7 linked regions of the Ovis aries genome follow. The protein of the gene in region 7 interacts with the protein of the main gene of each other region in a pairwise test. Links are inferred from orthologs where the notes say so. Each region holds a gene or a part of one and is shown on either strand. Other genes may lie near its edges.

What was found.
Region 1: the proteins of phospholipid scramblase 2 (region 7) and EWSR1 interact in binary tests that used the Homo sapiens proteins (3 or more experiments, as listed by UniProt). The two-hybrid records come from large-scale screens. The link is inferred for Ovis aries from reciprocal best matches to the Homo sapiens genes PLSCR1 and EWSR1.
Region 2: the proteins of phospholipid scramblase 2 (region 7) and MVP interact in a two-hybrid assay, tested with the Homo sapiens proteins (2 studies listed by BioGRID and IntAct). The link is inferred for Ovis aries from reciprocal best matches to the Homo sapiens genes PLSCR1 and MVP.
Region 3: the proteins of phospholipid scramblase 2 (region 7) and GLRX3 interact in binary tests that used the Homo sapiens proteins (3 or more experiments, as listed by UniProt). The two-hybrid records come from large-scale screens. The link is inferred for Ovis aries from reciprocal best matches to the Homo sapiens genes PLSCR1 and GLRX3.
Region 4: the proteins of phospholipid scramblase 2 (region 7) and CCER1 interact in a two-hybrid assay, tested with the Homo sapiens proteins (2 studies listed by BioGRID and IntAct). The two-hybrid records come from large-scale screens. The link is inferred for Ovis aries from reciprocal best matches to the Homo sapiens genes PLSCR1 and CCER1.
Region 5: the proteins of phospholipid scramblase 2 (region 7) and ESR2 interact in binary tests that used the Homo sapiens proteins (3 or more experiments, as listed by UniProt). The link is inferred for Ovis aries from reciprocal best matches to the Homo sapiens genes PLSCR1 and ESR2.
Region 6: the proteins of phospholipid scramblase 2 (region 7) and RGS3 interact in binary tests that used the Homo sapiens proteins (3 or more experiments, as listed by UniProt). The two-hybrid records come from large-scale screens. The link is inferred for Ovis aries from reciprocal best matches to the Homo sapiens genes PLSCR1 and RGS3.

The regions. Positions count from the first base shown.
Region 1 is NC_056070.1:68,562,642-68,567,344, forward strand, and holds the start of EWSR1 (RNA-binding protein EWS), read left to right. Parts: upstream 1-1,460; 5' UTR 1,461-1,515; coding exon 1,516-1,528; intron 1,529-2,117; exon of another isoform or gene 2,118-2,212; intron 2,213-4,703. UniProt on the Homo sapiens protein: Binds to ssRNA containing the consensus sequence 5'-AGGUAA-3'. Might normally function as a transcriptional repressor. EWS-fusion-proteins (EFPS) may play a role in the tumorigenic process.
Region 2 is NC_056077.1:26,922,984-26,927,010, forward strand, and holds part of MVP (major vault protein), read right to left. Parts: intron 4,009-4,027; coding exon 3,877-4,008; intron 2,610-3,876; coding exon 2,515-2,609; intron 2,271-2,514; coding exon 2,034-2,270; intron 345-2,033; coding exon 63-344; intron 1-62. UniProt on the Homo sapiens protein: Required for normal vault structure. Vaults are multi-subunit structures that may act as scaffolds for proteins involved in signal transduction. Vaults may also play a role in nucleo-cytoplasmic transport.
Region 3 is NC_056075.1:48,898,921-48,903,520, forward strand, and holds the start of GLRX3 (glutaredoxin-3), read left to right. Parts: upstream 1-1,479; 5' UTR 1,480-1,495; coding exon 1,496-1,584; exon of another isoform or gene 1,585-2,748; intron 2,749-4,600. UniProt on the Homo sapiens protein: Together with BOLA2, acts as a cytosolic iron-sulfur (Fe-S) cluster assembly factor that facilitates [2Fe-2S] cluster insertion into a subset of cytosolic proteins.
Region 4 is NC_056056.1:127,369,415-127,373,063, forward strand, and holds CCER1 (coiled-coil domain-containing glutamate-rich protein 1), read right to left. Parts: upstream 1,936-3,649; coding exon 724-1,935; 3' UTR 660-723; downstream 1-659. UniProt on the Homo sapiens protein: Regulator of histone epigenetic modifications and chromatin compaction into the sperm head, required for histone-to-protamine (HTP) transition.
Region 5 is NC_056060.1:74,529,333-74,534,058, forward strand, and holds the start of ESR2 (estrogen receptor beta), read right to left. Parts: upstream 3,178-4,726; coding exon 2,825-3,177; intron 1,252-2,824; coding exon 1,079-1,251; intron 1-1,078.
Region 6 is NC_056055.1:10,225,407-10,229,433, forward strand, and holds part of RGS3 (regulator of G-protein signaling 3), read right to left. Parts: intron 4,019-4,027; coding exon 3,937-4,018; intron 3,199-3,936; coding exon 3,093-3,198; intron 1,652-3,092; coding exon 1,300-1,651; intron 401-1,299; coding exon 361-400; intron 1-360. UniProt on the Homo sapiens protein: Down-regulates signaling from heterotrimeric G-proteins by increasing the GTPase activity of the alpha subunits, thereby driving them into their inactive GDP-bound form.
Region 7 is NC_056054.1:242,587,019-242,591,045, reverse strand, and holds part of phospholipid scramblase 2, read right to left. Parts: intron 3,500-4,027; coding exon 3,457-3,499; intron 886-3,456; coding exon 665-885; intron 1-664. UniProt on the Homo sapiens protein: Catalyzes calcium-induced ATP-independent rapid bidirectional and non-specific movement of phospholipids (lipid scrambling or lipid flip-flop) between the inner and outer leaflet of the plasma membrane resulting in collapse of the phospholipid asymmetry which leads to phosphatidylserine externalization on the cell surface.

The sequences.
Region 1 (4,703 bases), on a different chromosome or scaffold from region 7:
ATCAAAACCCACCGGCCACTCTCTTGCAGAAAAAAATAAAGAAAACGGCTCCGCCTGCAATGTCTTTCGCTCCATCTCTCCAACAGCAAACTCCTACTCATCCTTTGAAGCCCAGCTCAAAGCACCCCTCGCCCCCATCATTATGGAGCCTACCCTATCTAATGAGTAGCGCTTGGCCAGTTTTCTAGGCAGGTGGTCTGAGCTGGGGGAGGAGGGATCCTCCTCTCACTCACGGCCAAGTTCTCAGGGTGCTCCTAGCACACAACTCGTGCTTTGTATGTGTTCGTTGAAAAGAAAGACACTAGCTTTGTTCCAGGTCCCGCTCAAGGATTTGAATGAGCCCTGCCCTTTGCTGGACCTGGGCATCTGGCTGGGGAGATCGGGTTGAGTCCAAGAAGTCAGGCTGGTGTCAGCCTTGCGGCACTGCTATCCTCCTGCACCCTCACCATCACCCCCCTCCCCCCGGGGTACTTTAACAAGAGTAAGAGGCTTGCCCTTGGACAAACTGAACTGGGACCTGAATGCTGCAGAGCTCAATCTCTTTATCTATAAAATGGAGCTGTGCACCCTCAGACCCCGCCTACCTCTCCAGGAAACCGGAAGGACAGAATGGAAAGATAGGGACCGGAATGATTCTTCCGGGTCATGGACAGTTGGGCGGGGGTCCCGGGTGTGGGTGAGACTCAGCTTTGTGACTTTAGGAGATGTACCCAAATTCCTTGGGCCTCAGTTTCCCCTTCTGTAAAAACAAAGAGTGTTGGATGAGGGCTGATTAAAAGAGTCTTCGCAACCTCGACCGTTACTCGGCGGGGGGGGGGGCGGGCCTCTCGGCCTGGGCGCTACGTTCAGGGCCTCCCATCCACAGCCCACCGGTCTCGGCTCCCTCCCCCGCGGGCCGGGCCACGTGTCCGGGGTACTCACTGCGGAGCGCGCCCCCCGCCCCCCGAAGGCCGAGTGGGGCCCTCGGCTGGCAGTCGGTACCCTAGCTTCCCGCCGAGGCCCGAGCGCCTCGAGCCCATTCTGCTCGCCCTCCGGCGCGTGACCCCGGCCGACCGGTCGGCACGCCACCCCCTCCTCCGCCGCCCGCCGATTAGTCAGCAGTTGTTTAAGGCCCGGGTCCCTTCCCCCTAGTGTTCCCGCCGGCCCCCGTTTTCCTCCAAGGTAGTCTCTTCAGAGACGGTCCCTAGAACCAGCGGGCGTAACCATTCCCCAAACGACCCGGCGTCGACCAAAGAATCACTCCGGCTCGTCACCGAGATCCGCTCACCCGCCGCGCCCGCCCCCGCGGTGTTTTTCGGGCCGCTCATCACATCCGGGGCTCTTTAGAGAGAATTAGGACTAGAGAGGCGGGCGCGAAGGACGGGAAGCGGCGGCTCATTCCGCCGTCCCCCTCCCCCGTGGCGGGGGCCCGATGGTAGCGCCTGAGGTTGCGGGTCCCGCGCCTGCGCAGTGCGGCGTCTAGAGGACCAGCGAGAGGGAGACGGACGTTGAGAGAACGAGAAGGAAGGAGAGAAAATGGCGTCCACGGGTGAGTGTGGTGGGACTGCGGTCGCGCCGGCGACGGCAGGGACGCCCAGATTGGGGGCCGCTCGTCCTTGGGGATGGCAGGGACGACTGAGTGGGCTTTCCCGAGAAGGGTGTGAGGTACCCGCCGCGGTCCGAGAAGCTCGATGGCCGGCGTCTCCCTCCGCTCCTTCCCCTCCCCCCACCGGGCAGGCCGGCTCTGGAACCTTCCGGCGCCCCCGGCGCGCGGGGGGCTGGAGGCGGCGGGGGCGCGCGGGGCCTGCCTTGGCCTCCATTGTGTGGCGGCGGTCGGGCCCCGAGATCCGGGCCGCTCGCCACGTGGGCGGGGCCTGAGGCTTCGGGGCCCCGCGTGGGGTGGGGGGGAGAGTTCGGCCAGGCCTCGGGCCCGGCACCCCGAAACTGGAGGTGGGGCGGGCGGCGGCTCGAGGAGCGGCAGGCCCGCGTCTTTCTGACTGTCCTCACCACAACTCCATTTCCAGGCCCGCAGCCTGGGCCCAAGGCCGACGCTGCCTCTCCGGGAAGCCCGGGGTGAGGGGGGGAGAGCAAATAAACAAAAAAAGGCTTCGCGGACTTGTGAGCCGAGGGGCGCCGACCTGTGAGCCGGAGCCCCGTCGTCCTTAGAGCCGGGTCGGCTGGCACGTCGTCCAGGGCTGCCGAATTGCTCCCCTCGGCGGGTTCCAGCCCCCACGCCGAACTTCTGCCCGACTGGGCTTTAAACGGAGCGCCCCCGCCCCACGCTCCGCTTTACAACTACCCAGTCAGCTGCTGCTTAAAGTTGTTTTTTTAAACCATTATTAGTCCTTCTTTCCGCCACAAAAAGCAATTAGGCGGCTTCCCAGGGCCATTTTTCATCAAACGCGGAGGGAGGCCTGTTGTATAATGAGGCCAACCCTGTTCGCAAGGCCAGGAATCCACCACCGAAAGACATTTCTTGGCCTTTTTGATTTAGGAGAAACAAAAGGCCTCGGTCGGCGTTTGAATTATGCTTAAGTAATCGTCTCGTACGTTTATTCGCTTAGGTTAAGCCGAGAGAGGCTAGTTTATTTCGTGGTCTGACAGAAGAGAGCGGAAGGAGGCGCGGACTGGACTTTGAAAGAAAGCCTGGGGTGGGATCTGGAATTTGGTGTGTGGGGTGGTCCTTACCGCCCCGGGGTGTGTGAGAGAGTAGCCTAAACGGAGCTGCAGTTTGCAGTCCGTGCACTAACTGCGGTTGTGGATCGGGTGGGGAGATTTTTGCCTCTGGGGTTCTCCTTAGGCAGCCTGACTCCAGGCCTTGGAGGCAGTTAGAGGAGAGGGAAGATGGGAAAAGCTTTGGGTCCTTCCGAGTTTTAATCCGAAAAGGGTCCAGAATCAAGCAAGGGCAAGACAGCTTTGTGGTCTGTACACAAGCAGGTGGTAGATGCTGGCTGTTAGTGCCAGGGTACAGAGTGCCCCTGGAGGAAAGGACTCTGAAACAACCACAGTCCAAGACACCTTCCGGTGGGGAATGGTTTCCTCAGAGCCCTTTCCTCCTCCCTCTTCCCTGCAGTGTTAGGATTTTGCAAGGGGGAGTGCTGCTCTCCCTTCGCCGTGAAAGTTTGGGGAGTACACGTGTGTGTATTTAAGTGTGTGTGTGTGTGTGGACATGCCAGTTTTTCGTTCTCCTTCGCTCCAGCTCTGTGGCCTGGTGACCGCTGCGTACTGTATTAGAATTGCAGTTGTGGTTTATGTAGACATGCAGCAGGTCTGACGGGGGTCCTTTGAGGGACTCCTTAACTTATCTGGGCTTCAGTGTCCTGTCCTTCAAGATGACCGGCTTAGGCTAGACGTTTGAAGAGCTTTTTGAACCCTTAGTTTCTGATGTTACAGCTCTCACGGCGTTGTCCTGAAGTGACTTTCTTTAACTTATGATGTAGTCTGAAGCTCTAACTCTCAACAGTTCCAATCGTGACTGCCTGAAGTTTCTAAAAGCCACCACATTGGGCAATATTCTTAGCTTTTCTTCCTCCTTATTTGGCATATTTAGAAAAGTACCTAAAGTATATGTCCACTTTAGCAAAGAAACTTCCAAGTAACCACCGTGCAGACCAAGAAATAGAATATTGCTAGCACTCTGGGTTGGGAATATCCCCAAGAGGAGAACGTGGCAACCCACTGCAGTAATCTTGGCTGGAGAATCCCATGGACAGAGGAGCCTGGTGGGCTACAGTCCAAAGGGGCGCAGAGTCTAACACGACTGAAGCGACTTGGCAGAGCACTCTGGAGGCCCCCACCCATAGCCCCCTTTCTCCTCAACTTGTCCTGTGTTTTATTGTAGTCTTCAGCTACATGTTTGGGAGTTATAACAAAAAATAACTGCTAAATAATCTGACCAGTGTGTAACTATAGATTTTTGAGGCCATATAAAGGTTTTTACGCTGTAGGAAGATAAAAGTTCTCGTGAAGCACATTTACTACCTCCCCTAGCCCAACAGTGTGGGGCTAAATAAATCAGCTGGTTTCCCATTGATGTGAGATCATTCGTTGTTCCTCATCAGCTTTGCCAGTTGTATGTTTTACATAACTGTTGTTGTGTAAAAGTTCTCCTGCAAACATTGAACTTACATGTCAGTGATATGGAACCATTCCTCACACACAAGCCTCAGTACAATGTAGGTTGAAATATTTGATTTTTGGTGTTTCATTGGTATGTTTATTTTTTAACTAAAACGTGAAAGAGGTGATTTGAATTTTTATATGTCACATACAGAGCTGAGATTGTCTTGAACAAATCGATTTACTCATTATACATAGCCTTTGGTGGTTGATTTGATAATGTTGATGATTCAGGGTTCTGAGTTAAGGGTGTAGAGGAAGGAAAGTGGTCAAGTTATGTGTAGAGGTGAAAAATGAGCCAAGTTAAAGAGATGGATTCAGCAGAATGCTCTAGGGGCAGGCCAGGTGAACTGTGAATCAGGCTTCTGTTGGAGTGAGGTTAGAAACCCCCTCTGTGAAGAGCTGTCAGCTTTTGCTTTCAGATAAGGCACTGCTTTCTGATTGGAAAGGAAGGGCCCTTTGGTCTGCCTTAATGGCGGTACGGTCTTCTGACGTATTAATAGAATAAGACAGTAGTTCTTAGGGAGAGCAGAGAATTGGGCAGGATTTTTTTAAAGTATATGAATGTTTACTTCAGTAGTGCCATGAAAGCTTCTTAACAGTTT
Region 2 (4,027 bases), on a different chromosome or scaffold from region 7:
CACCCAGACCAGCCGCCACCACACCCACCCGGCAGTGACAGCGCCCACCCCTCCACAGTTACCCTTCCGGTCTTGACATCCTGCACATAGATGCCCTCGTTCTCATCCAGTGGGATGGCCTGACGCTCTTCCACCACCTCCACCTTGGCGGGCGGCACATACTCCAGGGGTCCACGGATGAGCCAGCGGTCCCCAGCCTGGTGGGAGACCTTCTCCTTGCCCTCCCCCTCCTCCAGGGGCTGCAGGGCCCTCAGCAGCAGCCCCTGCTGCTCCGACAGCACGTATACATTCTGGATGCCTCGTTCCAGCTTCTCCCCGGGCTGGAGGAAGAAAGACTGCTCTCCCTGGTAGGGAGAAGTGGAGTCAGGAGCCGTCACCTCCCAGGACTGTGGAGCCCTCTGATGGTTCCTCCCTCAGCCCTGGGTGATCATGGGCTTCTGCTGAGGACAGAAGCCCCAGCAGCCCCCTGCCCAAGTTCCTACCCACCTCCCCTTCATACAGAAAATCATTTATTTAGACTGAGACTCTTCACAAATGCCTGTAGATGTGGTCAAACCTGCCCTGGAAAGATTCTGTGAAGTGTCAAGGTCTGGGTTCTCACAAGCTCAATAGTTAAGAATTAACCTATTATTGCCTTATTTCTCTCACACTTTATTCCCTTAGGGTGGTATAGTACAGAGTTTCCGATCTCTGACCTTTGGACCAAATCTGGCCTGCTATTTTTTAATACAATATAAATATATATTTGAGATAAAACCCACATATTATAAAACATATGCCCATGTGCTAAGTCTCTTCAGTCATGGCTGACTCTGCAACTGTATGGACTGTAGCCTGCCAGGCTCCTTTGTCCATGGAATTCTCTAGGCAAGAATATTGGAGTGGGTTGCCATGCCCTTCTCCACGGGATCTTCCCAGCCCAGGGACTGAACCCATTTCTCCTACATCTCCTGCACTGACAGGTGGATTCTTTACCACTAGTGCCACCTGGGAAGCCCATATTATAAAATACAGATATTTAAAGTATACAATTCAGTTGCGTTGGTATATCCAGAGTTGCCCAACAACACGACTCCCTGATCCCGGAACATTATCATCCTGAAAAGAAACCCTGGATCCAGTAGTAGTTACTGCCTATCCCCACCCCAACCACTATACGTGGGTCTACCTACTTGGGACATTTCATATAAATGGAAATCATACAATAAGTGGTCTTTTTATGCCTGGCTTCTGTTGCCTAGTATAATGCTTTCAAGTTTATCCATGTTGTAGGACATATTAGAACCTCAGTTTTGATTTTTACCTTTTTGAATTCTCTCAAGAACACGAATGTCCGCCACCCCAGAAAGATTATCTTATCCTTTTGATTGACATGCCACTGAATGGATATACCATATTTTTCAGTTATGCATCAACTGATGGATATTTGAATTGTTTCTATTCTTTCTGCCTGTTTTTGCAAATAAAATGTTACAGGAACACAGCAGCACTGGTTCACTTACAAGATGTCTACGCCACACAATATTGTAAAGCAACTATCCTCTGATAAAAAAAAGACAATCTACACTGCTTTCATGGCACAACAGCAAAACTGAGCACAACAGAGACCATGCCCCTCACAAAGCCCCAAATATCTGTGACTGTCATAGGAGAGGCCAGCCCAGCTCTGGTAGTCCCACATAGTTCAGAGAAGGGCTGAGGCAGAGGATGGGGAGAAGGGTAAACCAAGAGATTTGTCTGACGCAGGATGACAAAGCTTCCAGAAGAGAGAGACGTGAAATATGAGAGAGAGTTTCTGGGTCTGCGTTCACCAGGGTCAGGGAGGCGCTCCCAGGAAAGACTGTGGGTAACCTGAGGTCAGGGATTGCCAGGAAGATCAGTGACACTGTATTCTCAAGAGAGAGACAAGTGTGCACAGAGGGAGCCGAAACCAGCTTGATGTTTCTAGAATGTCTACCTGGGGTGGGAGGAGGGAAGGGACAAGGGTCCAGGGCCTCAGGCCATTCCCCTCTGGGTGAGGGGCAGGCACTTACCTTGAACACAAGCTTTTGCCCCAGCTGGTTCTTGCCGTCTGGTCCGACTGGGTCGAGAATCACACAGTAGTTGTGGGGGCCCAAGGTGGTGACGGACACAACCCCCATCACCTCCTCGTAGACATCTGGCACGTGGGCCTCCGTGTCCTGCACAGTCACCAGCCACTCCTCCCCAGTGCGGCGGCTCACCCCTCTCACGTCTCGGAAGTTCTGCCGAGCTCGAAGGTGCAGGGCTGTCTGGAGAGCAAGATGTCAAGGGGTAGGGGGGTTTCAGTAAACCTAACTCCGACTAACTTCCTTGGGGGATCTGGGAACCCCACTGGTCACCAAATGCTCCAGGTCTGAGTCACTGTCTACCAACCCAGGAGGATTTCTTAAACCCTTTCCAGTGACCCAGGATACTCCTCAGGTGATCTTATTTTCTCCCACAGTTCTTTGCCCCTCCGAGAATCTCCCACCCAGGGTCCCCCAGAATACAGACCTTTTCCGTAAGGATCACAGCATCCACCACATCCAGAACCTCCTCAAACACTGCTGGGAGATACGCACCCACGGAGCGGACCAGCCATTCCTCTCCTGGGCCGGGGAGGAGAGGCAAAGGTCAAAAGTCACCCAGCCTGCTCCCCAGCTGCCCCTTCCCGCAGCCTAGATAAAGAGTACCTGCAGGGCTTCACACGCCACTTTGAGGTCATTGCTCCCAGGCTCAAGGGCCTGACAGAGTCCTTTTCCTTTTTTGAGGCCAGAGGAAAAGCAACCCCTACCTCAGAGAGATTAAAAAAAAAAAAAAGGGCCTTCCAAGCATCCAAATTGTTGCTATGGGAGTACCCTGTAGGCCTTCTCTAAGCTCCAGAGATCAGCCTTTTTTTCTTCCCCTAAAACGGGCAGAAGGGCTTCCCTGGTGGCTCAGAGAGTAAAGAATCCACCTGCAATTCAGGAGACCCAGGTTCCATCCCTGGATCAGGAAGGTCCCCAGGAGAAGGGAATGGCTACCTACTCCAGTGTTCTTGCCTAGAGTATTCCATGGACAGAGGAGCCTGGCAGGCTACAGTCCAAGGGGTTACAAAGAGTCGGGCACAACTGGGCGACAAACACAAAATGGGCAGAACTGCCACATTACAGCTTAGAGGTCGTTCAGCCTACTGGAGAAGCAAGAGTGCTAGGCACAAGTTCCAGCCTGGCTCTTTCTGGCCATAAACCCAGGCCTCAGTTTCATCATCTGGAAAACGGGAGCTGTGGTGCCTCAGGGTTGCAGGAAGACCTAAGGGAATTGCGGTCTGTAAAACATTTGAACCACACCTGGCTCAGTAAGCATAGCCTTTGTTAAGACTTTGTTTAACACAACAGGTCTGTCAAACAATTGCTAGTTGCATATAGACACAGGAAGTCTCAATGGCTCAAGAGGTAAAGAATCTGCCTGCAGTGCTGGAGACCTGGGTTCAATCCCTGGGTCGGGCAGATCCCCTGGAGGAGGAAATGGCAACCCACTCCAGTATTCTTGCCTGGAACAATCCCACGGACTGAGGTGCCTGTCGGGCTACAGTCCGTGGGGTCGCAAAGAGTCAGGACTGAGCACGCACAGGCACAGCAACAATATAAACACCTGCTTTGTTGGTCTAGAGACAGACCCAGCTCACGACAGAGTCGGAGGAAGGGAAAGCCATGTCAACAGGATCCGGGCCAGGTTAGTGGGGGAAGTAGCATGTGGCAGCCCCCAACAGCTGACAAGAGATACCAGGGAAGCACTTCCTCCAGGCTACAGGTGGCCAGCCCCCAACCTCCCCCACTTACCCCCGCAGTCAAGGATCAGCCCGCCCTTAGCCCTGTGAACACTTCAAGACTCCACCTGTCACCCGCTCCTTGCCATCCCTGTCTAAGCATTCCTTGCGAGCCCTCAGCCTCAGGGCCTGGTTCTGCTTGATGACCGTGGCCTGAATGATCTCGATGACTTCCACCTCCTTCTGGGGGATATATGTGCCTGGGAAGGGAAGATGGGG
Region 3 (4,600 bases), on a different chromosome or scaffold from region 7:
ATTCTTTACCAACTGAGCTACTAGGGAAACCCCATTTAAAGGGTAGAAAGAAGTAAATCTAATTTTAATAATATATTTCACACAACCCAGTATATTTCGACATGCAATCACTGTAAAGGTTATTCACTGGATACCCTGCATGAACTTCTTTTGATAATGAGTCTCTGAAACTCGGTAAGTCCACTTCGCCCCCCCCTCTCCCCCCGGCCCCAAGTAGAGAACATGGTTCATAGCACCTACGACGTGCCGGGCTCTCATTCAGGCTCTGGGATGGAGACACAGCTCCCGCCCTTGATGCGAGACCACAGACGCTTCTAACACGGTGAGGTGTGCCCGCAGTCCAAGGCGCGCAGGAGCCCTGAACACCTGAGGGCGGCTCCGCGGGGCCTGTCCTCCAACCCGGTACAGAGCCAGATGAGCCCAGGAGGAGCCCCACGTGTCTGGGTGGAAGCAATGGCGGTAGTGAACCTAGGATCCAGGAGGAGGGGCGCTTTGGAGACAAGGCCGGGGCTGGTCCGGGGGGAACCTTAAAGAGACCACCCCCGCCCCACCCCCGGCCCTCCCCCAGCCATGGGCACCGGAGGCAGGGGAGGGCGCTCTGCGGGAGGTTTCCCTGGCGATGGAGGGTGCCGGGACCATGGACAAGGTCACGCAGGCTGGAGAGGAGTGCAGTGGTGGAAAGGTGGGAGGAGACACTGCCTGGAGCGTCAGCATCAGGAGGTGCCGAGGGGATCCGGGGGAGGCCTGAGGTTAGAGGGGCGCGGGGCGCGGAGCCGGGCCTGATCTCACAGTGGGTGATGGTGGGCCATGTGCTGACGTGGCTTCGGGTTCTTCAGGGCCGAATTCGAAACTCCTTGTCAGCGTTGAGGTTCGGGGAGGGCGCAACCTCCCTTCCCCTGATCTCCCATTCTTCCATCCCTACCTTTTGGATTAAAATTTCAGCTTGTTAAATACACGCTTCCCTGGTGGCTCAGATGGTAGAGAGTCTGCCTGCAGTGTGGGAGACCCAGGTAGGGAAGATACCCTGGAGAAGGAAATGGCAACCCACTCCAGTATTCTTGCCATGGAGAATCCCATGGACAGAGGAACCTGGCGGGCTGCAGTCCATTGGATCGCAGAGTCGGACACGACTGAGCGCCTTCACTCACTCAAATACACACTCACGTCTCACACACACACACAAACACACGCGTACACCCTTCTCCCAGCTGCTTTAGGAGCTTCTAGGATCGCAGGAAGCCCTGACTTCAGGAGCTCAGGAGGTCAGGATTCCTGAGAGTCCAGAGCCCGGGCGGCCAGGGTCCTAATTGGCCGGCCGGACGCAGCAGCCCCAGGATGTTCAACCGGCTCTGGGCTGGCACTCGGCCCTGGGGGGCGGGGCGGGGTAGGGGGCGGCGCCGCCGGGACGGCCGGGGGCGGGGCTTCCTGCGCCACCGCCCGCGCTCCGCCCCCATCGGCCGCCCGCGCTCGATTGCTCTTGTCTGGCGGCGGCAGCATGGCGGCGGGGGCGGCTGAGGCAGCGGCGGCGGTGGTGGAGGTCGGCTCAGCTGGGCAGTTTGAGGAACTGCTGCGCCTCAGAGCCAAGTAAGCGAGGCGGCGGGCGGCAGGGGCGAGGGGACGCGGCGGGAGCCGGCCTCACGGGCGCACTGCCTGGCTCCCTCGCGCGCGGCCCAGCCTGGGCGGCCCGGCCCCCGAGCCCGGGTCCCCGCCCCGGTGCGGGAGCGGGTCCACCGCAGACCCGGGGCTCGAGGCTCCGGGCGCCCCGCGGCGCCAGGCCCGCGGTCCCGGGGAGCGGGGACGCGGGGACCCAGCACCGGGCCGAGGGTGGGCGCGGAGACCCCGGCCCCTCGCCGCGTCGTCCCGGGCGGACGCTGCAGGGAGGCCGAGCGGGGCCGGCAGTTGGCGTCTGAGGGCGCTCGTGGCCGGGCCGAGCGCGCCGTGGGTTCTGGTTTGGCCCGCCTGCCTGTCGCCCCGGGGGCAGGCGTCGGAAGGAGACCCGCGGGCTGCGGTGGGCCCGTTTGGCGGGTACCCGGAAACGCCGTCCCCCGCCCCCCAGCCTGCGGGTCGGCGCCGGCGGGCGCGCGGGGCCTCCGGGCGGTCTCTCCGCCTCGGCTAAGTCGAGCCCTCGCCCGGGCACCCGCCCCGCGCTCAGCCGCCTGCCAGCGCTGGGCCTCCCCTGCGCTCGCGCCCTGCCCAGGCCTCCGTGTCCCCTGCGGTGAGAGGGGTCAGGGCCGTGGGCGGCGCGTGGCCGGCGGGCGGGAGCGCTCTCGGAGGCTCCGGGGGCAGAGAGCCTGCGCGGAGCTCAGGGCGGTGGGGCGTGTGGACCTGAATGCGGCCCCGAGTTTGAGTTGGAGGCAGCTGGGGAGCTCCTTGGGAGCGTGGCAGGGGGCGAGGGCGGGGGAGTGGGGGTGCGGGTGAGAGGGGAGAGTCCCTGTCTTCCTCGCCGCGGTGCCGAGAAGTGTTCATCAGAACAGCTCCTTCGGCGTTTCAGGTTCACTTGGAAAATTGGTGAAAGAGGTGGTCCCCGGGAGGCGGGTGCGTGGGGAATGACGTTGACTCATTGATGAAAAGGGATGCGGCCCGGAGGCGGCCTTTGGAAGGAGCCGGGCTTGTGTGGATCTGTCCTTAATAAACGCTCAGTTTACCCATCTTAAGTAAACAGCGCCTGACGTCATGAGGACAGAAACCCGAAGCAAACAGAACCGTGGTCACCCTCTCCCGATGAGGATGAAGACTATTTTGCTGTTGGTGTGTTTGGCGTTTTTGAGTCTATGTTTCATTTTTTTTTAAACGTTAAAGTCCTTAAGACGTCACAGTCGGTTAAAATTTCAGTGTTAATACCGTTTGGATGCGTTCTTGCCACTGGCCTGTAGGTGAAATGACCCAGGTACAGAGCAGTGGCAAGAACGCATCCAAAAGGTATTAACACTGAAATGATTCCTTTAGATGGGCACGTGGGAAATGGTGCTTGGCATCTGGGGAAGGAACAGATCTCTGCTCCTTTTGGTGGAAATGGCAGCATTTCAGAACATGAAGTAGTACTTGTTAATGCCATTTAGCGTCTGTTTGACAGATCATCGCTTCTCAATTTTAAAATTTCATGTGAATTGAAAATGTTTTTTGCCTAAGTCATCACATGTTTATATGTTACTGAAACCCGTTAGTCTGTACAGTGGGAATATTAATACCCATTTGCAGAGTAATTAAGGTTTTGCCCATTTGTAAAATGTTTAACTAATATAGTCTAATACTACACGATTTTAATACGTGGTAGTCAGTGTTATCTGCACAGGAATAACTTCAGGAGCAGAACATCTGAAGGAACAGAGACAGCAATTTACTGGCCACTAACTGTTTTACTGACAAAGAACCGAGGTTCATCATATTGTTTAAAAGCACAGGAGTTAGGATTTGAGAAGGCAGTGGCACGCCACTCCAGTACTCTTGCCTGAAAACTCCCATGAAGGGAGGAGCCTGGTGGGCTGCGGTCCATGGGGTCGCTAAGAGTCCACAGGACTGAGTGACTTCCCTTTCACTTTTCACTTTCATGCATTGGAGAAGGAAATGGCAACCCACTCCAGTGTTCTTGCCTGGAGAATGCCAGGGACGGGGGATTCTGCCGTCTATGGAGTCGCACAGAGTCGGACACGACTGAAGCGACTTAGCAGCAGCACTTAGGATTTGAACCTCATCTTCTGTGAAGGTTTTTCCTTTAACAGTGCACCCTGTGCCTTGAGCTGTCCATGACAATGGAGAGAGCAGTGGGCCATCCGGAGCGGGTGGCAGCGTCTGTGTGTGTTTCAGGCTTATATCCTCGTGATCTTGGGTGTTCACTTAATTGGAAAGTAGAAGCTAAGCATCTAAAAATGAGAAAAATGTGGATAATTTAAAAGAACATTAATGCCATTCTTTAACGTTTTTAAGGGGCTTACATATTTTTGTTTGGTCTTCCCAACCTCTCAGGGTATTATTGCTGTTTCACAGATGTGGAAGTTAAATTACTCTTCAAAGCCACATTAGTAATGATGGAATTTAACCTGTATATGTGTACTTTTTCTTTTTCCTTACGTTGACACTTACTGTTAAAAAGTTTTGTAACCTATTTTAATTTTTAAAAAATGTACTCTTTGTATTTTCCCACGTTATTAAATGTTCTTTGAGATATGACTTTTAATGACTTTATAATATTTTATGACTGTTAAGAAAACTATGTTGTTGAATAATAGATTTTTACAGTTATTTGCTGTGTAAAATACTGGGGAAGTAGTCATATACATACATCTTTGTCTCTTTAATGATTGCTGTAGGATGGATCCTTGAAAGTGGTACAAGAAATTTCTGAAAGTTTCCAACTGAACTTTTACCAGTGGGATATAAAAGTGTTGTCTCACTTTATCCTTTTAATCATTGAATATTTTGATTTTAAAAATCATTTTTCATTTTGGTAAGAAGTGGTAAAGTAGTCCAGCTGCACGGGTGAGGAGAAGAGGAAGCAGTACTTGGTGAAGTATCAGTACTTCCTCCATGGTCTCTGCCCATGGGCCAAAGCTCCCGAGTTCTAGATACAGCGGGGCCTGTGGAGTGGGGGCCTGACCTGTGT
Region 4 (3,649 bases), on a different chromosome or scaffold from region 7:
ACTAGGTGTGCAAGTTGACTTCTGACCATGGGGAATCCTCTCCATGCATGGATTTATGGATTGCTGAGGCCATGGCAGATAACCAGTTCCACAGAAGCAACTTCATGTTCTTCTGAGGAAGATCCATAGCACTGTGGAACAAGGAATATAAATGAGCGATGCCACAAGAGACTGCAAACTGGGTTACCAAAATACAGCCCTCAAAAATGAACTCTGAAGGTGGAAAATCTATAAGAAAAAAAATATTAAAATAGGCATTTTTAAATGGTTTCAGCTATCATGTTAAAAGTACTGACGAACATTTAATAAACATGGCACATGCTTCTTAGGCATCTAACAGTCAAAATAACTGTTCATTCCAAGCTCATTAAGTAGAGATGATGTATAAAGTTGTTATAAAAGGAAACATTTTCAGCATTGCCAGAATTAAAAAACAAAAAACCTCAAATATCTAGAGGAGAAAACACCAAATGAAAATATTCAAACTGTAGTAATAAAATTTTTGGCCTTTAATCATTTCCAGTTAAATTATATTTGAAAGCTCTACCTCCCCCCACCCATAGTCATACACACACACACACACCAATTTTTAAACGTTTTATAACAGCCAAAGATGATAGGTTTATTAATGGAACTCACTTTTTCATTAGTTTTTGACAAGTGGCTAATTCATTTTAGCCTCCAATCAGTTCCATCGCATTTCTCAATCCCTTTCCTGATGTCTCAACAGTTAATGTCCTGCACCATGAAGAGCGCTTCCTGTGCCACTTTGGGAATTCTCTGTTTGGGGCTTAAACACGTACAGTTCATAAAGTTCTCTCTCTCTTCTTCAGCCCCCACTAGGAATGATAAAGGCATTTCCAGGGGCAAATGATTCTCTTCCTCCATCTGCTCATCCTCCACCAGCCCCTCTTCTTCCTCTGCGGTCTCCTCCGCTTCATTCTCCTCGTCTTCCTCCTCCCCCTCCTCCATATAATCAGCCTCTTCGCCCTCCTCCTCATCTTTGGCCTCTGACTCTTCGTCCTCCTCCTGGCTCTCCAACTCCTTGCCATCACACTCCTCCTCGTCACACCACTCCTCCCCCTCTTCTCTCTCCCCTTCCTCTTCCTCCATCAGCTGTGAGGTGGCCGGCTGCTTTTCTTCGTCTGGGTCAGGACTGAAGACGAGAGAGGGATTCTCCACAAAGCTGTACAGAGTATCTTGCAGCGCCCCGTCTTCCTGGCCACCGCTAGGGGGCGCGTCGTTTCCGAAGGCGCCCTCCGGGGAGGCTGTGCCCCCCGCCTGGGCCTGCTGCGCCCGCAGCGCCTCCTGCTGGCGCTCTAGCTTCTCCTGCTGCCGCATGTCCTCGTAGATCTGGTTCATGATGAACTGCGTGGTGTTGCGCGGCGCCCGCATGCCGGGGGCGCGCCACCCGTACAGGTTGACCGGCCGCAGCAGCGTGCTCAGATCCACCGGAGGGCTCCTCCGGGCGGAGCGGCGAGGGTGACGGCGCAGGCCGCGGCCCCGGCGACCCCAGCGCTTCTTTCTGCCCGGGGGCCTCGCCCAGCCGGGGTTCCAGGGCCCGTGGCAGCAAGAGCAGCAGCAAATGCAGAGCGGGTGCAGGCCGCACACCCGGATCACCTGCACCCGGCCCGGGGGCTTCCTGAATCCCGCCGGCGGTGGGCACCAGGGCCCTCTCCAGCGCCCCCAGCTAGAATACACGGCCCAGTAGGGACGCCGGGGTGGTTGGAACCAAGGGCCTGGACCGTACTGCTGCTTCGGCTGGTTCCTCGGGGGCTCGTATTCGGCCTTGGGGCCGTAGCGAGGCCGCCGCCTGTAAATGGGAGCGCCCCTGCGCCTTCGGGGGCCGGACGACCAGGTGCGTAACGGGGCAGAGGATGCCCAGCCGCCGCCCAGGTTAAGAGGATCCTCTTTTGTGTCGAGGGTCTGGGTCATGGTTCAGGGTGCTCCGAGAGGTCGACACGGTAGCGCCCTAGAAGCTGTCGTCGCGTTTGGACAGATCTGATGGTCTCAAGCGCCTCGTTTCTCTCTCTGCCCAGCACCACGTGCCCGCCGCTGGGATCTCGCCTTTGTCTCCAGAAGGATCCCCGCCTCTCTGTTCGCTCAGTCGCTCTCCGCCTAATCTCTGATCCTTCGCACCCGAGTTGTCTCGCCCAGGCGGGTTGGGTGGGAGTGGGGCTGGGTAAGGATGGTGGGTGAGGAAGGTGTTGGTGGGCAACGCGCGGTGACACCCGCTCCTGGGTCCCACTCACACCCGCCTCAGTGGATGCGCGGGCTGGGGCCGGGGGGAGGCAGGGGTCGCGCCGTTACCTTCCTGCTCCCTCTCAACCCAGGTGCTTCACCGTCGCCGTCCGGGCCGGACTGGGGTGGCGTGGGCCGCAGCAGCCTTTAAATACCGGCCAGGGGCCCCGCGTGCCCACCGCATCCTTGGTTGCCCCGGGAGACAGCCAATTGGGGTTGAGGTCGTTCTCCCAGGGCGTGGAGGTGGGGTTCCGGCCGGAACAGGTGCCCAGTGAACATTCGCAGGGGGCTTGTGACGTAGTTTTTGCGGGAGGGAGGGCGGAGGCTGGGTTTGTGCAGCCCACGTTAGGAACCGCCTGAGGCCATTTCTTTGCCCCCTTCGACCACCTTGAGGTGCTGGGTTAGAGAAGACGGACCTTCAGCTGAACCCAGAGTTGGGGATTGGGGAGAAACTTGTCTGTTGAAAAACAATATCCTACGCCTTTGGGGTGATGGAAGGGATAAAGAGAAAGCCCCCGGAGTCGGAAACAGGGCACCACGCCTTACTTTGTGGCCACTGCTCTAACTCCTGGAGCTCTGTTTCATCATGCATAAAACAAGATGGCAAACGTTTATTGTGTGTGCTTTCTGTGCAGGCGGGCTCGTGGCACACGAGCCTCACACCTGCTCTGTGAGGTAGGCATTGTTACCACTTTTCGTAGGTTAGGCAGCTAAGACGTTAATTTACCCGAGCTTGTGAAGTCAGTGAACTTAAGGGCTAGTGTTTAAACATGTTTGACCTCAGAGCCCAGATTCTTAGTGAGGTAACTGCAGTGCCCAAACACCTTAAACAGGACTGTGACGAAAAGAACAGGGAATCTGTATGGTCAAGCACTGTACTAATTGTCGTATATCGTGTAAATGCGCTTTGATTAAACATTACCAGGATGTTTACCGTGAGTTTGTTTGTAAGAATGCTACTGTGCCAATTGTTTTTCCTTTTGCCCTTTTGTTAACGAGGCAGCATGGTACCTTGGGAGCCTCTGTAACATTATAGTTAAGAATATGGGCTTCGGTTTAAATAGACAAAAGCCTACCCTGAATGATTCCCTTCAGTCCTGTCAGACTCTTTCCGACCCCATGGACCATAGCCTGCCAGTCTCCTCTGTCCATGGAGTTCTCCAGGCAAGAATACTGGAGTAGGTTGCTATGCTCTCCTCCAGAGTATCTTCCCAACTGAGGGGACAGAACCTGTGTCTCCTGCGTCCTCTGTTGGCAGGTGGACTCTTTACCACTGGGGCCATCTGGGAAGTCTAGGTTTATCCAAATCTGTAGAAGGTGTAATGTCAAGAGGAGCCCTCAGTTCGGTTCAGTTCAATTCAATCGCTCAGTCGTGTCTGACTCTTTGCAACCGCATGAATCGCAGCCC
Region 5 (4,726 bases), on a different chromosome or scaffold from region 7:
TTTTTTAATAACTACCTCCATTTCACAGATGAGAAACCAGGCCAGGACATCAAGTCACAGAGCTACTAAGTGGAGGGTTGAGGACAAACAGGGCCTCATCTATGAAGGGTGAATTTCCCAGGGACTCAGAGGAAGGTGATTCCTTATCTACTAACATTCTACCCCTCATCTCCCTCTAGATTACATCAGCTTCTCTGCTTGAGGTAAAATGCTGTCAACCTAGAGTTTCACTGGGTGAGTTAACTCAGTAAATTGCTGTTTGCCACTTTGCCACTTACACACTATGAATTGCTTTAATGTAGCTTTCCTTAACCGGTTAAGAACAAGGCTTTGGCAGAAAAGGGAAGGGAGCTCTGAGATGGGAACACAGGACACTGCCTGGAAGGAGGGCTGACAAGGGAGGAGTTATGGGGGTAGAGAGACAGCTAAGAGCACAGGAAAGCAAGAAAGTGCCTGCAGCAATTAGGCCTGGCAAGGAAACGTGTGGCAAGGGGCTGACTGGCCTTGAAACCAGGTGCGTACAATTTGAAATTGATTAAAGAGATGATTTAACAAAATCACAGAAACAAAAAGCCAGCCTAGCAGAAATTTGGAGAAGGAAAGGGAAACAGTCTAAACTCAGACCAGAAAATAGGAATGTAAAGGAGGTTCCACTAGTTGAGCTACTGACTGCATAAAACATATTCTCTCTTCCTCAGGAGCCAGCCCACCATCTCAACTGTTACATATGCTAGATATTAAACATAAGTCAAAGGAAGAAACAATCTTCACAGTTCCTAATGGGCACACATTTTTTCCAGCCTTCACAAAGGTTATGTTTCCTCCTAGGAAGACGGCAACAGGTGATGGTGGTGCAAGATCCATTTGGGTTTGGGGGTAGAGATCTGAGTGAAAGATAAAGTACTCTATACTTGAAACAATCCCCCCACCCCCAAAGACACATGATCCTCTGAAACAGTCACCAAGTACTCTGTGTACCAAGCAGGCCAAACAAAGGTAAAATTTCTGCCAGGTCATCCGCAACATTGTTTAAAAGCAAAGTGGAAAACAAAAAAAGCAGCTAACAACATTCTTGTACCTTGAATGCTTCTTTTAAAAAAGGCCTTACATCCTTCACATGACCAGACTCCATAGTGATATCCCGACGCATAATCGCTGCAGACAGCACAGAAGTGGGCATCCCTCTTTGAACTCGGACTAGAAACAGGGCTGGCACAACTGCTCCCACTAGCTTTCCTTTTCAATGTCTCCCTAGGGGCAAAGAGAACATTCACTGTAAAAGAACATTGACGGTAAAACAAGGCCTTTCTAGAAAAAGGAACAGCATGAACATTGCCTCGTGTATCTCTTTGCCCTCCAGGCTTCATAACAAATATATTCCAAGAGATCTGATCAAGCAAAACCTTTGTTACTGATATCAGATCTATTAAGAGTCGCTCTGTTGGGATCGCTGGTGTCTGAAAGTGGATAGGTGAGTTTACACCCATCCACACAGTGTGGATGAACACCGATTACCATGGAGAACTAGCTATAGCCATCAATGTGTACATCTCTGTAATCAGTGACTACATCAAGTCTGGGTGGGAGCAGTAGCGAAAAGGGGAAAGCGAAGGAGAAGAGAAGAGGAGAGGGGGAGAGCATAAACACATGCCTGTCCCTTGAGAAGGCTCTGAAGAAAGCAGGTGTTCAATGCAGGGTGGAGAGGCTTACCACAGAGGAAGGGGGAACCCACAGTGGGCCACCGGCAGACACCAAGAACACACCGGGCTAGTTCCTAATTTTGCTACAGCATGTTTCCTTTGGAAAGGACATGGCAGAGGTATGATTGATGTATAAATTTAATATGCTGAGGTTTAATGTACCCAAATATTAGCAGAGCTCTGATTAGAACTTGTCCTCAGAAATAAGATATTTCTTCCTTTAAAAGTTGAATGTGAAGACATTACTTTTAAAAAGTCATCTACATTTTTCATATTCTCTTTTACCAATCAAAAAGTTCTTTAAAAAAGAAGAAAAATAAAATTAGTGTGTAATATGGCTTTCTCAAAGTTTTATGAATTTGAAAGTAATAAACTTCAATACCAAATATGCCATAACTTAGTACTTGGGTTCTTGTGTAAAGTTATGCCCCCTCATGCTTCTGCCTATACTAACTCTGCCCTCTGTAGCCATGATTATCATTAAAACTATCCGAGTTCAATCCCTGGTTGGGGAAGTAAGATCCCACAGCCACATAGCACAAAATATATACGTGTGTGTACGTATAACAAATTGAATGCAAATAATCCCTGATGTTACCTTGCACTTAGAGTTTCAGAATGTTCAACTAAAGTCCACATTAGTTTCCTGTCAATCTTTATAAAATGTTATTTAGTTCACTGTTTAAAAATTTGTACCACTGTTTGTCTTTTCACCTGTCTAGCATTTCATCGAGTTGTAATACCAATGGTTACTTTTATCTTGGACATAATTTGTCATGAACACTAAGTTGTGATTTCACTTCAAGATAGGAAGGCTCTAACTTGAAAATAAAAATTCCTTTTTCAAACTCAAATCACTTCATCAAGAAGAAAGTGATTTAAATTAAATATTTTCCAAAGATAGTCATGAAGTGAATTCTCCCCCACAACACAGATCTAAAAGCTCAACTTTTTAGTAAGGACTAGAATATCAGAATAGATATCCTAGAATTCAGAACATCAGATGTTCTAGGTGCTCTATGTGATAATGAAGACCTTGTATAACACATATCTTTCTTCTCACTAAGTCATAAAGCAATCTGAATATCGGCCATAATATAATTCAGAATGAAGACTGGATTTACCTGTTCACAGGGAAGGTGTGTTCTAATGATCTGGTTTCACACCAAGGACTCTTTTGAGGTTCTGCATACAGAAGTGACGACTGGCAATGGATGGCTAAAGGAGAGAGGTGTCCAGGAGTTGGCCACAATACATTTGGGCTTGTGGTCTGTCGACCAGGCCCATCTTCTGAGTTATTGGGAATACTGTAATTCATCACAGCAGGGCTATAGAATGTCACGGCTGAGTATTCATGGCGGCTCTCTACATAGGAAGAGGGTAAATATATGGGGCCTGGCTCCAGGGGTAGAATGGATTGACCGCAGTTATAGGAGACAGGAGAGTTAAGGCTAGATGGTGAGTTTTTGACATCCATGTCTTGAGTAGGTAACAGCTAGGAAAACCCCTTGTGAGAAGCACAAAAGAACATTATAATGTTCTCAGAGTCATGGACAGGTATGGCTGTAAAGAAAAAAGAAAAGACATTTCTAAGTTACAGGTACAAGCATACTGTGAAAAAGGTTGACACATTTTTATTACACACACACACTTATATGGACCCAGAAATACATCCTGAAAAATATACACACAACCTCAGAGGGGTAGGAATAAAAGGCATGGAATTCATTCTCTCCCTTCATTCACTTCCATAAAGCTTTTGTTGTTAACTATAAGAATTTTCTACCATGAGAATTTAATATAAAATACTTTTAAAAATTAAAAAACACAGGGAGTTCCCTGCTAGCCTAGTGGTTATGACTTTGGGCTCTCAGTGCTGTGGCCTGGGTTCAATCTCTGGAGAAAAAACAAACAAACTTAAAAAATATACGATTAAGTAAAAATGCCAACCAGTTTTTTTCCCCCTAGAAGTAGATAAATTCATTTTTAAATTCTTACAGAAAAATTTTAAAAACCTACCTCAAAGGGTAGATCAGTAAGCATGACTAGCATTAACAGATCTTCAAATATATCATGAATAGCCAATGATAAAAAAAAGGAATACATAGGCCAATGCACCTGTCAAGGATCAATTTATTGCCTCTCACCTTCTAATGCACTCTTCAATATATGTAGTGTATGTTCTATGGAAATAGAATTCCTTTAAGCATTTAAACTGAGCCCAGTGCTAAGCTTTCTCAGTAGAGGGCGCTGCAGGGACTGCAGGAGGAAGAGGCCGCTGTGATTTCTGGCAGGGGCAGAGGCTGACATGGTGGGTGAGAACAGCCAGTGGAGCCTGTGCGACCAGAACGAGATCCCACTGCAAACATGCAGCCCTGGCATGGCAAGAACCTTTCTGCAATGACCTATTCAGACTACGGCCTGAGGAGTTAGAGAATTTGTCCCTTGTGCAAGCTTCATCACCAGCACCTGCATGCTCTGAAGGCCTTCCGCTCTGGCAGGCAACTGGATTTCCAGGGCATGCCCACACCACCAAATGCTGACTGCCTGCTCCCCACCTGCAACTCCAGACCACTTTTGTCTGGGAAAACCAGTGGACATTTTAGTGGCCAAACTATCTTTTCCAAGGAGGTCTGAACACCCCCACCCCGCCGGTTTGTCCTTCCTTGGGTACTCTACCTCGGCTCTTGGGTGCTTTATAGAGTTTCTTACATCTTACACTTAATCTCCCATCACAGTTGGGAATTCTTATAGTAGACTTCTCCTGTTGAACTTATTGTGTAGTTTCTTTCCTGACTGGAGAGAAACACACTGCTATGCAACAGAATAGAAAATCCCCAAACAGCAAATTTAAAAGTCAAAAGTTTTTGGAAATTTGTCATATGATAAAGGTGATGTCTCAAATCGCTACAAAAACATTGAACACAGAATAATCATTGGAAAAAGACATGTCCGCCAGAATAAACTCCAAATGTTAAGACAGAATTGGAAAGAAAGGAGAGGGAGGAGGAAGGGAGAGAGGGTAA
Region 6 (4,027 bases), on a different chromosome or scaffold from region 7:
TCCCACGGACAGAGGAGCCTGGTGAGCTGCAGTCTATGGGGTCGCAAAGAGTCGGACTGAAGCGACCAAGCACACGCACAGACAACGTTGGGTGAATCTCAGCTGAGTGCCTGAGTTCTGAATACCGTCTTCTAGGCTGCTCTGAAAAGATGCCCTCGCTTCCTTCTCAGTTCAGGATCCAAGGAAGAAAGACAGTGGCTCAGTGAGGGAGGAGAGGTCCCAAGAGGAGACAGTCTGTGTCAGTCTGCTGGGGGGGTGGGTCCTGACTCTGTTGGGAAGGCCTCCCAGCCAGAGGAGGAGGCAGCTGACCTCACCATCTCTCTGGGGCTCGGAGGGCAGGGCAGCAGAGGACAGACTCACCTTCGGGGATGGCGTCCTCCTGGTACACAGGCCGCAGCAGCTGCAAAGGAAAGACAGAAAACCCCTCAGCCCAGCCACGGGGCAGACAACCAGGCAGGCTGCTCAGCCCTGGCCTGGGGATAGCAGGGAAGCCCCTCAGGGCATGAGGGCAAGACTGCCATCCTGCTAAGAAACCAAGAGGGGGCTTGTAGGGAACACAGGCTCTAGAATCCTCCAGAATGTTGGAGTATAGTGAGGCTTTAGCTGTCATCGAGTTTAACTCCTTGGCTGGATCCCCATTTCCTTGATGGCAACTTGTTCCAAAGCATGTGCTGTGGAACACTGGCCCTAGGGACCTAACAACTCTGCTACAAAGGGGGACACCATCAGGGGAGTTTGGGAACCACTCGGGCGAACAAGGGTGAACCACCTTCTTCGCTGCAGGTGCCCTCAGAGCCTCAAGCAGGTGAACACGCACTGGGAATCTGCTCCAAGAGGAAGAGAGCAGGAGGTGTTTCTCAAGCTTACTTGACCTCAGGACACATTTTACCCAGAGTATCTCAGGGGAACCGTGTCTTGGGATACACACACACCATCACCCCACCTCACCATCTTGAAGTTCCTTCGACAGGCGCTCGCTCACCGCCCACCACGTGGCCCATTCTGCTATGGAAAAGCGCCGTCTGGCAGAAGGCGCTGCTTCCTTCTTTTGAGGTGAAATCTTCCACCCCATGACATCCCCTGGTCCTGAATCTATACCTTGAGACCACAAAGATCCAGCTGCTCCCTCTGCCCAGGACAGCTTGACAGGACGGCCCTTTGGAGTGACCGCTTACCCCACATCCCTGCTCCCTATGCCGAGCCCCTGGGAGGCTCCTCCCAACACAGCTGAGTCTTTGCCTCTTCCCGGCTTCACTCAGGGACCCCAGCCCTTCACCTTCCCGGAATGGCGGTCCATACCTGGCTCCCAGGGTTCAGTGGGGCCAGGATGATGTAGTTGGGGTCAGTGGGGGCCGTGGCGCGGGACAGCGCGGGCAGGGTGTGCTGGCTCCCACGCTTGGTCAGCTCGGTGTAGCGCTCCCAGCCGCCGAGCAGCAGCCCATCCGAGCTGTCACACACCAGGTGGCAGCTGTGGCGCTGCTCCGGCCGGGCCTGGGCCCCGTGGGTACAGTTCTTCTCCCGCTTATTGGGGGGTGACAGGAGGTCGAGGGTCGACTTGCAGGAGGCCCGTCGCAGGACCCCTCCATCTGGCCCTGGCTTGACCTGGGGGACCATGCGCCATACAAGCAGGACGATCTCGCTGGGGCAGCTCCTGGAAGTGGCGGGGAGAGGGGATCACAAAGAGACGTTGAGTCTGCTGCTGCTGCTGCTAAGTTGCTTCAGTCGTGTCCAACTCTGTGCGACCCCATAGATGGCAGCCCACCAGGCTCCTCCATCCCTGGGATTCTCCAGGCAAGAACACTGGAGTGGGTTGCCATTTCCTTCTCCAATGCATGCGTGCATGCTGAGTCGCTTCAGTCATGACCAACTCTGTGCGACCCCATTGACAGCAGCCCACCAGGCTCCTCTGCCCACAGGATTCTCCAGGCAAAAATACTGGAGTGTGTTGCCATTTCCTTCTCTGGAAGTTGGGTCTGGGGGAGACCAAAGTCAGGCAGGGTAGGGGCCTGCGGGGGCAGAAAGGAAGAGAGTGGAAGGGGACAGGGGCAGCCCCCGGTGCTAGAACAGGAAAGGATGCAGAGGCCAGCTAAAGCAGAGACAGCAAAGGGGTCCCTGAGGTCAATTCGAGTTGACTGGCAAGGGCTGGGAAGGGCATTGGTAATAAAGAAAGAAGACCAGATTCAACTAGTGAGGTTCCTCCTGAACACAAAGTACAAGCAAGCAAGCCACCTGTGTAAACCCCTCACCCAGTCATTCTAGAAGCAAACCTAAAATGGGGCTGTAACTCAGAGGGTCAAAATTGAGGGGTCCCATACATTTAGGGACTTCCCTGGTGGCTCAGACGGTAAAGCGTCTGTCTACAATGCGGGAGACCCGGGTTCGAGCCCTGGGTTGGGAAGATCCCCTGGAGAAGGAAATGGCAACCCTGGAAAATCCCATGGACAGAGGAGCCTGGTGGGCTACAGTCTACAGGGTCGCAAAGAGTCGGACACGACTGAGCGACTTCATTTCACTTCACTTCACTTCATACATTTTAAGTCTTCCCTGGTGTCAGAAGGTAAAGACTCTGCCTGCAATGGGTTGCCTGAATTCTAGTATTCTTGCATGGAGAATCCCATGGACTGGCAGGCTACAGTCCATGCGGTCGCACAGAGTCAGACACGACTGACCCACTAACACTATGTACCACTATGTACCACTATGTACCACTATGTACCAGGATACATTTTAAAGAATAACTGTTTAGTTATACAACTGAAAACACTCTGCAACATCTACCCAGCCTAGAAAACAGAAGGCTTAGCTCTGAGGTAGCAGAACTAATGAGCTCAAGGAGAAAGCGACCCCCTGGAGCCACGCCATGAACCACAGGGTGTGTCTGAGAGCTTCTTCTCCCACTGTTTGCTCTGGGATTCAAATTTGCTCGGAGCCTGAACCTTCCAGTTTCAGGCCAAGTAACTGATTTCCTGAGGAGCAAAGCAAATGGCTCGCAGATGTGAAGGAGGGACAGGCCAGGCGTGTGCCCAGGGCTGGGGAGGGGAGGGGAGGTGCGAGGCAGCCCCAAGCCCCAGGCCGCCCGCCGCGCCGGTCACCGGATCTCGTGAGCCAGCTCCACGCATTTCCAGTGCTCCACGGGCCTCTCGTTCAGCCGCAGTACCGTGTCCAGCTGCTGCAGCCCTGCCTGCTCAGCTGGGCCCCCTGCAGGGACAAATAAAACTCCTTGGAGCCCACAACCCCCTCAGAGGGCCTGGGGGTCCTTTGCCTCCACAGTGACCTTGGACAAGGACCGCTCCCCTCTGTTTCTTCATCTGTGCATGAGGGCCTGACCTTGGAGGTGCTCAGGAAGGATCTTGAAGGAGGTTCCCCTTTGCCTTCCTTTCCTCCCTGCCCGCAGACCCAGTACTGGCTGATCTCTCTGCTGCCAACCTCACCACCAGGCCCCCTCCCTCCCCAGGAACTCTCACCCTTCAAGAACCCTTCCTTGCTGCCAGGCCCCCAGATCGCCACGTCCCAGCTTCTCCTCTTAGGATGCTCACTCTGTGACTAGGAGAAGTCTTTTCTTTGTGAAAAGTAGAGAGGAAATGACTATTTTAAAGGGCTCATCAGGCTGGACTAGGATAAAATACTGATTCCAAATCAAGTTCATAAACGATTCTTATTTTCCCATGCAGCCATTGCTGAAAATATAGGTTTAGTTCCTGTTTGAAATGACTGGGAAACAAAATATAAAAGCCTATCTTCACTTTGATTAAAAACAAAACAAAAAAAGAGTAGGTGTATTTTCATAGACCTCACTTTCATCTATGGTCATTTAAAAATATTATTCTTTTCATTTTGAAAGGCCAGGACTCTTCAATCCGGGTTGGGGTTTCCCTTTCAGTTCCAACATCTTGTTTGCTAAGCATGGGGCTGCCATCACCCAAGATGCTCACTCACCGGAATCCACGGCCTGGACTCGGACCGGAGAGTCACAGCAGATGGTGAAGCCAAAGCCGTCCTTCCCCCGCGGGATGGTGATCTAGGACAC
Region 7 (4,027 bases):
TCGTTTCAGTTGTGTCAGACTCTTTGTGACTCTGTGGACTGCAGCCCACCAGGTTCCTCTCTCCACGGGATTCTCCAGGCAAGAATACTGGTGTGGGTTGCTATGCTCTCCCTTCAGGGTATCTTCCGAATTCAGGGACCAAACCTATGTCACTTACATCTACCTCCATTGGCAGGAGGGTTCTTTACGGCTAGTGTTACCTGGGAAGCCCTCCTTAGCTCCCTGTAGGTTGGCTAAAATTATGAGATGAACATATGTATTCTTTTTCTCACTCTTCTGTCCACTTGCTACTGGGATGGCATTTGAGGATATTCCCTATGGGGCCCTCATCTGGCTTTGGTCAAGCGCTCATGGTCATTTCAGGTAAGGTCCTTGAACCAGGCACCCTACATTCTCAGCTCTCCCTGAAGACCAAGAAGTCTGGTCTCTGAGATCTCTGATCTCACCCCAGAGGACACACTGCTCAGGAATGTTGGCCAAACTGATCACTCCTTTCCACCTGCCTGCCTTCCTACAATTTACTCTCAAGGATAAACTAATAGCTGGTGAACCACTTCACCTTTAAATCTCATTTTATTATATAAATTCACTGATAAGGTAAAAATTCCTACAGAACTACTTTGCAAAGTATTTGTAAAAATTACCGTGTTAATCGCTCACCCACCTCTTGCAGGCAGCAGGGAAAACAGCAGCTGGCACACCGTAGTGGTCTTTCCAGAGTTATGACTTCTCGACCCATATTATCAAGAATCTTCATGGTAAAAGGCCTAGCAGGCCCACAGCAATTTCGAGTGCAACAATCAGTATCCTCTGCTGCAAAGTAAATCCTCTGTCCAAGGCTGTTCTTAATTTCATATCTGTTATTAGTTTCAAAACCTATTAGGACTAAAAATATAAAAAGAGGGACTCATTATGTCTACAGCATTAAAAGAATAATCAGTCTATCCTAAGATGCTATAGTGTCTAGCTGTACCATTTTTAGATGGTACTTCATTTAACACAGGAGGAAGAAAAGGAAAGGTGTTTAGAAATGATCTAAATATAGAAAAAAAGTGGAGGGGATGGAGGAGAGGGTATTAGCGTACAGAGAAATTTGGAATTTCTATATGAGACACAAGGGCTTCTTGTGTCTCTGTGCCACACAGGCGGCACAGAGGTAAAGTGCCTACCAATGCAGGAGAGGCAAGAGATGGGGGTTCAATCCCTGGGTCAGGAAGATCACCTAGAGCAGGAAATGGCACCCTACTGCAGTATGCTTGCTGGGAAAATCCCATAGACAGAGGAATCCCACTCTTCCCATCCCTGGGGTTGCAAAGAGTGGCACACAACTGAGCAACTGAGCACACACGCACATTCTTGTCCACAGCCCTCATTAACACGAGTCATAGGGTATTAGAAGTCATCAAAATATTGAGCAATGAAAAAACAGAGGGACAAAAATCAGTCTTTAATATTGGTGTGGATGGATTTAGATAAAAATGTTCTTCACAAGTTTCATCACCATGACCTCCCTTAGGTGTCTTTGCTATGACTTAGGCAGACCCTGACTCTGCCTTTAAAAGAGCCACCCTTTACCTCAATATCCACCTGTCAAATATTTTATGTAAAAAAAGTTAAAGTAATCATGAAATGGGATCTATTACCTAAGTGCTTCTTAAGTAAACTAATCTCAAAATTCTTCAGCTTGTTTATCTGTAAAGTGAGATAAGTGAGCTTACACAATCTGTTTCTTTCTAGTTACTTAAAAAATGAAAACAAATAAAAGAATTCTATGGTTTTGTCTTTATTATCTCTTAAGTTTTGAACTGGGACACGTCTCAGGTGCTAAAAAATAAACTGAGTAATCTTTTCTCTATACTATTTATAATGTTAAAATATAAACTTGCAATTTAAGACAAAAATAAGAAAATTAGATATCCTTTGTAAAAACTGAAGAATTTATAATTATTAAATTTGAAATTTACTTTGTATTTCATGACTAATACATATATATTTTTTTAATATATGCAAAACTTATAAATCTGAAAACTATAAATGGAGTGCTATATAATGTACAGTGTCTGATTTTTTGGTTTTTATAATATCAAAAATAAACTCTAAAATGAATCATTAAAAAAAACTGGAAATTCAAATTACCATACTCCTTTCCAGAGAAAATATAGTATAAACAAACTAATAAAAATGAGAACATGATGAGACTCCCTGGTGGTCCAGTGGTTAAGACTACACTTCCAATTCAAAGGGTGTGGGTTTGATCCCTGGTTGGGTAACTTAGATCCCCCTTGCTGAGAGGCGTGACCAGACAATAAATAAATAAATAAATAAATAAAACTCCCCACAGAGAATTCCCTGGTGCTCTAGTTGTTAGGACTTCATGCTCTAACTGCCGAGTGGGTGGGTTCAATCCCTGGTCAGGGAACTGAGATCACACAAGCTGGGCAGCAGGACTGTGCCCCCCTCCCACCCCAAAAAAGAGGACATTAAATTTCTAACAGTGAACATCACAAGTAATTTAAGTAGAATAAGCAATTATATATTCTAACCAAATATTAACCATATTACTATAGTAGTACAATTCACTTTATTATTCCTATCAGTGGTAAAGAACTTTGCAGAGATGTGAAGAAAGATTTAATAGATATATTCTAAAATCTATTAGAGTTTTCACTGAATTGTCTATAAGGAAAATACATTGGTTCATGAATTTACCCAGGTTCTCTTTCCCTGGCAGCAGTCCTAAAACATCTACTGGCTTTCTTAAGTTTACTTTGCACCTGAGGAGCCCTGGACCAAAGGAAACAACTGTAGGAGTCAGGCCCCACTGATAGGAACAGCAGTGATATTCTAGGAAGTCAGGTGTTTTGGCTGACTGGTCAGCCTCCTTCAGTGAAGTGGCCCTGTGCCCAAGGTGATAATTCATAGCCCGTGGAACAAAGGTTTTATAGGGTTCATCTGAACTCCCAAGAAAAACCATGGACAATAATGAGGTTTTCCAAAACATCCCCATCCACCCAAATTCAGAGTTCATTTACTTTGGAAATGTAGTAAGGTAACTGAACTACTGCTTGTGACTCTTTGACAATCTCAAGCTCATCACAAACTGGGGAAAAAAAAGTTGAAGAGATAGAGGTTAGGGTGGGTTAGTGATAGAATCACTGAAGTGATTTCTAGAGAGAAGACTGAACAAAAGTAAGTTTTGATTGGTTTCCTCCCAAGTCATGGTCTGTATCATGAGGACAGATGTCCAGCTTAATGGTATTTTAGCACTTGACTATTAATTTCAAAAACTGAGCTGCTGATAATCCTTATCAGGATTATCATTATCACAGAGACATTTTTAAAGCCAGGTTTAATTTCAACATCCCTGAAGGTGTTATATCTGTGTTTCATGATACGCTTTTATCTGCATAAATGTCCTCTCTTCCTAGAAATATGATAAATACAATGAATACATACCTTCCAGAAGTTCCATTTGCTGATGAATCAATAGCTGATCTATCTATTATAGTAAAAAAAAAAAGAGCTGTAACCATGTTATTAAGCCAAACAAATTAACATCAGTGTTTGTATGTTTTAAAAGAATGTATATAATCAGTTATCAACATTTATTAATAGTTAATAACTGTTTGTATCACTTCTAGGTATAAAATTAAAGTTAGTATATTCTTAACAACTACTGAAACGTGTTTATTTTTAATGTGGGCAAATTCAAGTCAAGCAAAATTGACTTACACTGGAATCCGTATAAAATTAGAAAAAAATGTTCCTTCCAGAAAGGGCCTAAGAAATATTAAGACCTTTTCATCCATTTAAAGAGCTTTTTACTACAAATAAAAACATTTTTCAAGTGTGCTTAATATCATTTATAGTAGGTGATGACTTCCCCAAATATATTGTAAGGGCTTAATTTTTCTTAAAAAATAATATACTTAGGGTATTTCTTAGAGAATTTAGGAACTACCAAATTCTTATATTATATGCAGCCCAAGTGCATTATGGGAAATTAAATTAGTGCAGAGTGAAAGAG